Linked DNA regions of Macaca fascicularis. The protein of the gene in region 1 interacts with the protein of each later gene in a pairwise test. Links are inferred from orthologs where the notes say so. Each region holds a gene or a part of one and is shown on either strand. Other genes may lie near its edges. The genes, in order: EGLN3 and FOXJ2.

Region 1 (3,817 bases):
TTAATGATTAATTTTTTTCAGTTTAAATCAGAGTTGCTCTGACTCTCAATGCAGAATAAGATGTACACTTTTCCCTCCCAGAAGCAGCATTGGGAAAGTTCCACAAAAATAGAACTGTAGGATATAAAACCATCCCCAAGAGAGATTTCCCACACAGTCCTCTCCCTCAGGGTGATATGTCTCATTGATCGCTGCTTGCCATGGCTTACTATGGTTTGTGAATGCCAAAGGCTTTGTGGCTTATTTTTGTATTATAGAACTTATAGATAGATGGAGATATGAAGCCTGGTTCCATGCTCACAGACATTTGTGTGGACTCTGTATGCTTTCCGAAAGTTAAGAATGATTTAGGAGTCTGGGAAGTCAGATAACTTTTCAAGCTTATTTGGCTTTTGAACCTTCTGCATCTCCATTTCCTGTTCATTAGGCAAATACTGGCTGTCGTAAAGCAATAATATTTTATCCAAAGTCAGAAAAACGAAACTTGGGAAACCATCGAATCAGTGAAAAGGCCTATCTCTTCTCCCTGTTTGGTAACATCTCTGGAATACATTGGTAACATGACTGGGGTACATCCATTAGGTCGTCTTTAAAATCTTGAGAAGTGCTAATAGAGACAAGAGAATAAAGTTATCAGATTGGTAATGACAAATTGGAAGGTCTGCAATCATTCAACAAATATTTGAGTTCCTGCTAGTGTCAGTCATTGTATTATGAAGAAACATTGATGTGTGAGGCCTGAACTCTACACTGAATAATGTTATTCTAGTAGGATGAAATAGGTTGACGTGTAAAAGAAAAAGTAATTCAAGGAAAACAGTGATATATGTCATAAAAGGTGCAGATTAGGTGGTCTGAGAGTTCAAAAAAAAGAGCATGTAACTTCCAACTAACGAGGTCAGATAGGAGTTAAGGGAGTTCAGAAGAGCAGTAAATTCTAATTGAAGGGGAAGTTACATGTGATGATTTTCTTAGAAAGTTGTTAATGGTTAGATGGAACCATGTGAAATTGCTGGGTATTTTTTTTAAAGTCAAAAACACTCAAATATTAGCAAATCTGTATGATTCAATCTAATAGTACTCTATTTTACGTCCATGGGCTTTATGACTGGGGGGGGTGGTGGGAATGCTTTTTTTGGTTTAAGGTGAATAAGGAGGTATCTCTAGCCAAGTTTGGTATAAAATTTGGTACAAAGTGGCCAGGCGTGGTGGCTCATGCCTATAATCCCAGCACTTCAGGAGGCCCAGGTGGGTGGATGACCTGAGGTCGGGGGTTCGAGACCAGCCTGACCAACATGGGGGAAACCCCATCTCTACTAAAAATACAGAATTAGCTGGGCATAGTGGCACATGCCTGTAATCCCAGCTACTCAGGAGGCTGAGGCAAGAGAATTGCTTGAACCAGGGAGGTGGATGTTGCAGTGAAACGAGATCATGCCATTGCACTCCAGCCTGGGCAACAAGAGTGAAACTCCATCTCAAAAAAAAAAAAAAAATTTGTACAAAGTATGAGGTTGAAGTAAAAATCTGGGGTACCATGCATTTGGAGTGGTGGTTAGCAGATGGCATGTTTCTAAATGGGGCTGAAATATGGTTGTCGATAAACTACATGAGAGGTAAGAAGTAATCCCCCTTCTTTGTGTCTTTAAGCTACATGGTGGGATCCTGCGGATATTTCCAGAGGGGAAATCATTCATAGCAGATGTGGAGCCCATTTTTGACAGACTCCTGTTCTTCTGGTCAGATCGCAGGAACCCACACGAAGTGCAGCCTTCTTACGCAACCAGGTAATAGCCGGAGCCATGATTCCTCTTCCGGAGTTCGTTGTATAAACCCTAGTTCCAGGGAACTCTCTAAACGTGTCCTGTGCATGTGGGGGATTGATCACACCCCATAGCTGATAGCGAACTTGTTTGGAGTCTACAAAAATTAAAGGGGAAGCTTTGCATTCTTTAGCATACCAAAGCTAACCTCAGTTTGAAAGTACTATTAACAAGTTGTTTTCTATTAGGTGAGCATATTGGATTCCAATTTCTCAAGAGTATTTTTCTCTTCTCTCCGTTCCTCCTTTCTCTTACCTCTCTTTCCCTTTTTAAAAAAACCTACTGTTGAACTATGCCTAGAGAATGTTGGCTGTCACATATCAGGAATTCTGTCTGGTTACTTTGGATGAGTTTACAAGCCACTAGTTGCAAGCAGAGAAAGAACCTTGAGAAAAGAAAGAGTAATTTGTTTTGACTTTCTCTTTTTGTCTATTCCTTGGTTTGAAATTGGCTTGGGCTTGCTGTATCCATGGTCCAACAGTTGAATGTTTTATTAATCTTTTCTTTATGTGCACATGAAGATTCTCAGAGTAGCTGAGCACCTTAGTATTGTTTAGGACCAATTTAGACAATCTTGATAAAAATCTTCATTCTCAATTGTGCTTCTTATTTACCTTTGTCTGTGTCTAAAGCAATAAACCAGGCAGCATTGGAGGGCTACGGAGTGCAGCTTATACTGAGACTAGCATTCAGGGGCAGGAGGAGAGAGTTTTGATAGGATGATGATTAAACCCTGACAAGCCTAATTAAATTAAGATCACATGTGTCCTCCCGAAATCACACAGCTTAGCCCTAAACCCAGTTACATATTAACTGCCACATTGGAATGTCTTCTAGATGAGCAGGGAACGAATTCTACCACTGAAGTCAGCTTTTGTGTTTTATGGGGTATGTGACTAAACCCTGTTGTTTGTGGCAGAAGCCTTTGGTTATTCCCCAGTATCATGATGACTGGCCTTACAGGGAAAACATTAGCAAATTTGATGAGAAGCCCTTGAAAAAGACTCAAGTGCTGTAGAAATTTCAGTAGCTAACAATCATTACAAAATGAAACTTTTAAAAAAACCAAGTATGAAATGGTTCCCATTATAGTCTATCCAATGAATGGGATAAAGCAAATTAGTGGGGGGATGCAGTAGAAAGCTCTGGGGCATTATTATTATTCAATTGCAATTTTGCCTCAATGTCCAAAACTAAAGAAAGCAAGCCAAGAGTTTTAAACATACTGTGATTTACATAAGTCGTTTTTCAAAGCTTCACTCAAATGTCATCTCTCCTCTATGTTCTCGCTACCAACTTGGGTCTCCCAGTCTTTAGCAGAATGACTCCCTTCTAGTCCTTTCTGTAGAGACCATGTTTACCTGTTACATTATTGCAAAATCACCTGTCTCCCCTACTTTGAGCCTGAGATCACAGAGGAAGATCTGATCACAGGGTCATTTGAATTCCTAATGCCCAAGAAAATTTCTGGCACATACCTGGAATTCCTTATGCATTTTATTACACTGAAATAGAATTAAAACCAGAGAAGTTAATTTTAAATTAAAATCAGGGTAGACAGGCCGGGCACAGTGGATCACACATGTAATTCCAGCACTTTGGCAGGCCGAGGCGGGCAGGTCAAGAGATCGAGACCATCCTGGTCAACATGGTGAAACTCCATCTCTACTAAAAATACAAAAATTAGCTGGATGTTGTAGCATGCACCTGTAGTCCCAGCTACTTGGGAGGCTGAGGTAGGAGAATCGCTTGAACCTGGGAAGCGGAGGTTGCAGTGAGCTGAGATCGTGCCTCTGCCTGGCAACAGAGTAAGACTCCATCTCAAAAAAAATAAAAAAATAAAAAAATAAAAAAAATTGGCTGGACGCAACGGCTCATGCCCGTAATCCCAGCACTTTGGGAGGCCGAGGCAGGTGGATCACAAGGTTAGGAGATCAAGACCATCCTGGCTAACATGGTGAAACCCCGTCTCTACTAAAAATATAAAAAATTAG
Region 2 (3,817 bases), on another chromosome or scaffold:
CAGGAGAAATGCCCTGGTGGGACTGAGGAAGACAATGTTAGCTGGAATCTGGCGGCTGTGCAGGCACAAACCTGTTAGGCAGCAAGTGCTTAGGGGTTGCTGGCATCAGCTCTAGGGGAGTGCCAAATGGCTACCTAGTGCTTCCTGCCAGCCTTTCTAGACCCTGCAATACAGATAGCACCCATCGTTCTTCACTTTCCCTCAGCAAGACGTCGCTGTAGCTATACCTCTCTGCTGGGAAGAGCGCCCAGGCAGTGTGGGTGGCAGCAGGGCGTGCAAACATCAGGCGTAGGCGGTCTGGCAGCTCCAGGAGTTTGCATGGAGGTGCAGCGAGCGTGCCTGCCTGGCTGGAAGGAAGGAGGGAGGAGGAGGGCGGAGAAGGGGAGCCAGCTCCGAGTCCCAGAGTGGCTATTTTTAGCCAGGCTATCTGATTGTTACCGGTAGGCACACAGCTGGGTGTCTCCCTGGCTGGGTGAAGCCCAGCAGGCTGAGAGGTGGGAGGTCCTTGTGGATGACTTCTTCCTGGTGGTGGTGTCTGTGGGCGGGAGCATGCAAGGGGTAGCTTAAAAAGTGTGAGGGCAGCTGTGTACTCAGGATGTGTTGCTTCTGTGTGTGACTTTGTGCTCTGGTGGTAATGTATGCTGTATATGTAATCGTGATCTCTGTGTATGTGCTTCACTGTTTATGTATCTGTCTGCTGGTTGTCATGTATAATTTATGCCTGGGATATACCTAATATGCCTCAGGTGCACATGTGTGGGGGATAAAAAGGGCAAGTGCTCGTAATATATCTAGTAGGAAACGTCTTTAAAAGTGTTGGTGCGTGCTTCATCCATGTATGTTTGTATTTAGGTAGACCTTTTCTTTACGTGGACATTCATGCCATCTGTCTGGATGTTGTATGAAAATACAACAGGTGTCACATGATTGGAGAATGGACTTTAATTTCACCTGCTAAGTGGGGTTTTTCTTTTTTCAAACTCATTCCTACATCGTTTAAAAATACTATGTTGTAGGGCTATAAGTAAGGTGAATTGAGGAAATAGCTCAATTTGGTGTGAAGTTTGATCTCTTTTAGTCCTATATGGAGAGGCCTTTTGGCCGTGCTCCACGTTAAGCTGTAGGGTAACTAGCAGTCCATCATCTGGTAGATCTGCTTGGGGATTCTCGGAACACCTGGTGGAAGGCCATGCCGTGGGTGTCTGATGGGAATGAGAGCAGTAAGAAACTCTCCTTCCCTCAAACAAAAGGATTTGAGTATTACTTGCCCCCAGTCTTTTCGTCTCCTCTTTGTCTTCTTCTCTGCAGAAGCCAGAAGTACCATGGCTTCTGACCTAGAGAGTAGCCTCACCTCCATAGACTGGCTTCCCCAGCTGACCCTCCGAGCTACCATTGAGAAGCTTGGAAGTGCCTCCCAGGCTGGGCCTCCCGGGAGCAGCCGCAAGTGTTCACCAGGCTCACCCACAGATCCTAATGCCACCCTGAGCAAAGATGAGGCAGCAGTTCACCAGGATGGCAAGCCACGATACAGCTATGCCACTCTCATCACCTATGCCATCAACTCCTCTCCAGCCAAGAAGATGACTCTCAGCGAGATTTACCGCTGGATCTGTGATAACTTCCCCTATTACAAGAATGCTGGCATTGGTTGGAAGGTGGGAATGCTTCTGTAATTTTGGCTTAGATTTAGCCTTCAACAACCTTTTTCTCTACTTTTGTTTCTTCCTGTAACCTGTTCAGTTTACTCTGGCTTGTCTCAGAGATGTGAAAACTTAAAATCTCATATGTTCTGCCCCCTACTGTTTTTCAGAGTTGAACAACTTTTATAAGGTATATCAGGGAAGCTCCAAGCCATTAAGTATAGTGATGGGGATGGCGGGATACTGTTGCTTGTCACACCCTCTTATCTTCATTTTTTTTTTTTTTTTGAGACAGAGTCTCGTACTGTCGCCTGGGCTGGAGTGCAATGGCATGATCTCGGCTCACTGCAACCTCCACCTCCCAGGTTCAAGCGATTCTCCTGCCTCAGTTTCCTGAGTAGCTGGGATTACAGGTGCCCGCCACCATGCCTGGCTGATTTTTTTGTATTTTTAGTAGAGACAGGGTTTCGCTCTGTTGGCTAGGCTGGTCTCGAACTCCAGACCTCATGATCTGCCCACCTTAGCCTCCCAAAGTGCTGAGATTACAGGCATGAGCCACTGTGCCCGGCCCGCACCCTCTTGTCTTCTGATCCCTCAAAGAGGATATTCATTCATTTCACAAATGTTTATTACCATTCTACGATGTTCCAGTCACTATGCAAGGCATGGCATCACTCCTTCCTACCTAAAGGTAGGAATCTAATCTAGATCATCAGATTTCCATAGCTCCATTGCACAGTCATCATCTTTTGAAAAGCTGCATTCCAAGAAAAATAATAATATAATTAGGTTCTTTACCAACAGCTGGCTACCAAGCAAGTAATGAGAAGCTAAGTTGTTTGGCTGGAGATGAAGAAAGAAGGGGCTCTTCTCCCAAGCAAAGAAGGAAGGCTGATATGCTCAATTTTTTGGAGCAGTAGCTCATTTGTCAATTGCTGAGTAGGAATGGGAACTTAATATGTAGTTCCCTCACTCTGTAAATCCCCATTTGACGTACAAACCATGTAGTGAGTTGGAGACTATTGAAAGCACTCAGCTTTCTTTTCTTTTTTTTCTTTTTTTGCAGGGGTGGGGGACAGGGTCTCACTCTATTGCCTAGACTGGAGTGCAGTAGCATGATCTCGGCTCACCGTAACCTCCGCCTCCCGGGTTCAAGTGATTCTCCTGCCTCAGCCTCCCGAGTAGCTGGGATTACAGGTGTGCGCCACTGCTGCCCGGCTAATTTTTGTATTTTTAGTAGAGATGGGGTTTCACTATGTTGGCCAGGCTGGTCTGGAACTCCTGACCTCAAGTGATCTACTCGCCCTGACCTCCTAAAGTGCTGGGATTACAGGTGTGAGCCACTGCACCCGGCCTCTTTTTTTTTTTTTTTTTTTTTGAGACGGAGTCTTGCTTTGTGGCCCAGGCTAGAGTGTAGTAGTGCAATCTTGGCTTGCTGCAACCTCCTCCTCTTAGGTTCAAGCGATTCTCCTGCCTTAGCCTCCCAAGTAGCTGGAATTACAGGCACCTGCCACTGCAACCAGCTAATTTTTTTTGTATTTTTAGTAGAGACGGGGGTTTCACCATGTTGGCTGGGCTGGTCTCGAACTCCTGACCTCAAATGATCCACCTCCTGCCTTGGCCTCCCAAAGTGCTGGGATTACAGGTGTGAGCCACTGCACCTGGCCTCTCTTTTTTTTTTTTTTTTTTTTAAAGACAGGGTCTTGCTGTGTCACCCAGGCTGGATTGTAGTGGTACAATCACAGCTCACTGGAGCTTGAACCTGGGCTCAAGCAATCCTCCCACCTCAGCCTCCTGAGTAGCTTGGACTACAGGCGTGTACCACCATGCACAGGAATTTTTTTTATTTTGTAGAAATGAGGTCTCACTATGTTGCCCAGGCTGGTCTCAGGCTCCTAGACTCAAGTGATCCTCCTATCTCGGCCTCCGAAGATGCTGGAATTACAGACATGAGCCATTATGCCTGGCCCACTGAGCTTTGCCTTTGTAAATATGTCCCTCCTAGCTACCATAACCCCCAACCCCACCCAACACACACATTTTTTTTTTTTTTTTTTTTGAGATGGGGTTTCGCTCTTGTTGTCTAGGCTGGAATGCAGTGGCATGATCTAGGCTCACTGCAACCTCTGCCTCCTGGGTTCAAGCGATTCTCCTCTCTCAGCCTCCTGAGTAGCTGG

The links.
Region 2: the proteins of EGLN3 (region 1) and FOXJ2 interact in binary tests that used the Homo sapiens proteins (3 or more experiments, as listed by UniProt). The two-hybrid records come from large-scale screens. The link is inferred for Macaca fascicularis from reciprocal best matches to the Homo sapiens genes EGLN3 and FOXJ2.

What each region holds. Positions count from the first base shown.
Region 1 is NC_088381.1:101,736,735-101,740,551, reverse strand, and holds part of EGLN3 (prolyl hydroxylase EGLN3), read left to right. Parts: intron 1-1,650; coding exon 1,651-1,787; intron 1,788-3,817. UniProt on the Homo sapiens protein: Prolyl hydroxylase that mediates hydroxylation of proline residues in target proteins, such as PKM, TELO2, ATF4 and HIF1A. Target proteins are preferentially recognized via a LXXLAP motif.
Region 2 is NC_088385.1:12,668,575-12,672,391, reverse strand, and holds part of FOXJ2 (forkhead box protein J2), read left to right. Parts: intron 1-1,308; 5' UTR 1,309-1,322; coding exon 1,323-1,655; intron 1,656-3,817.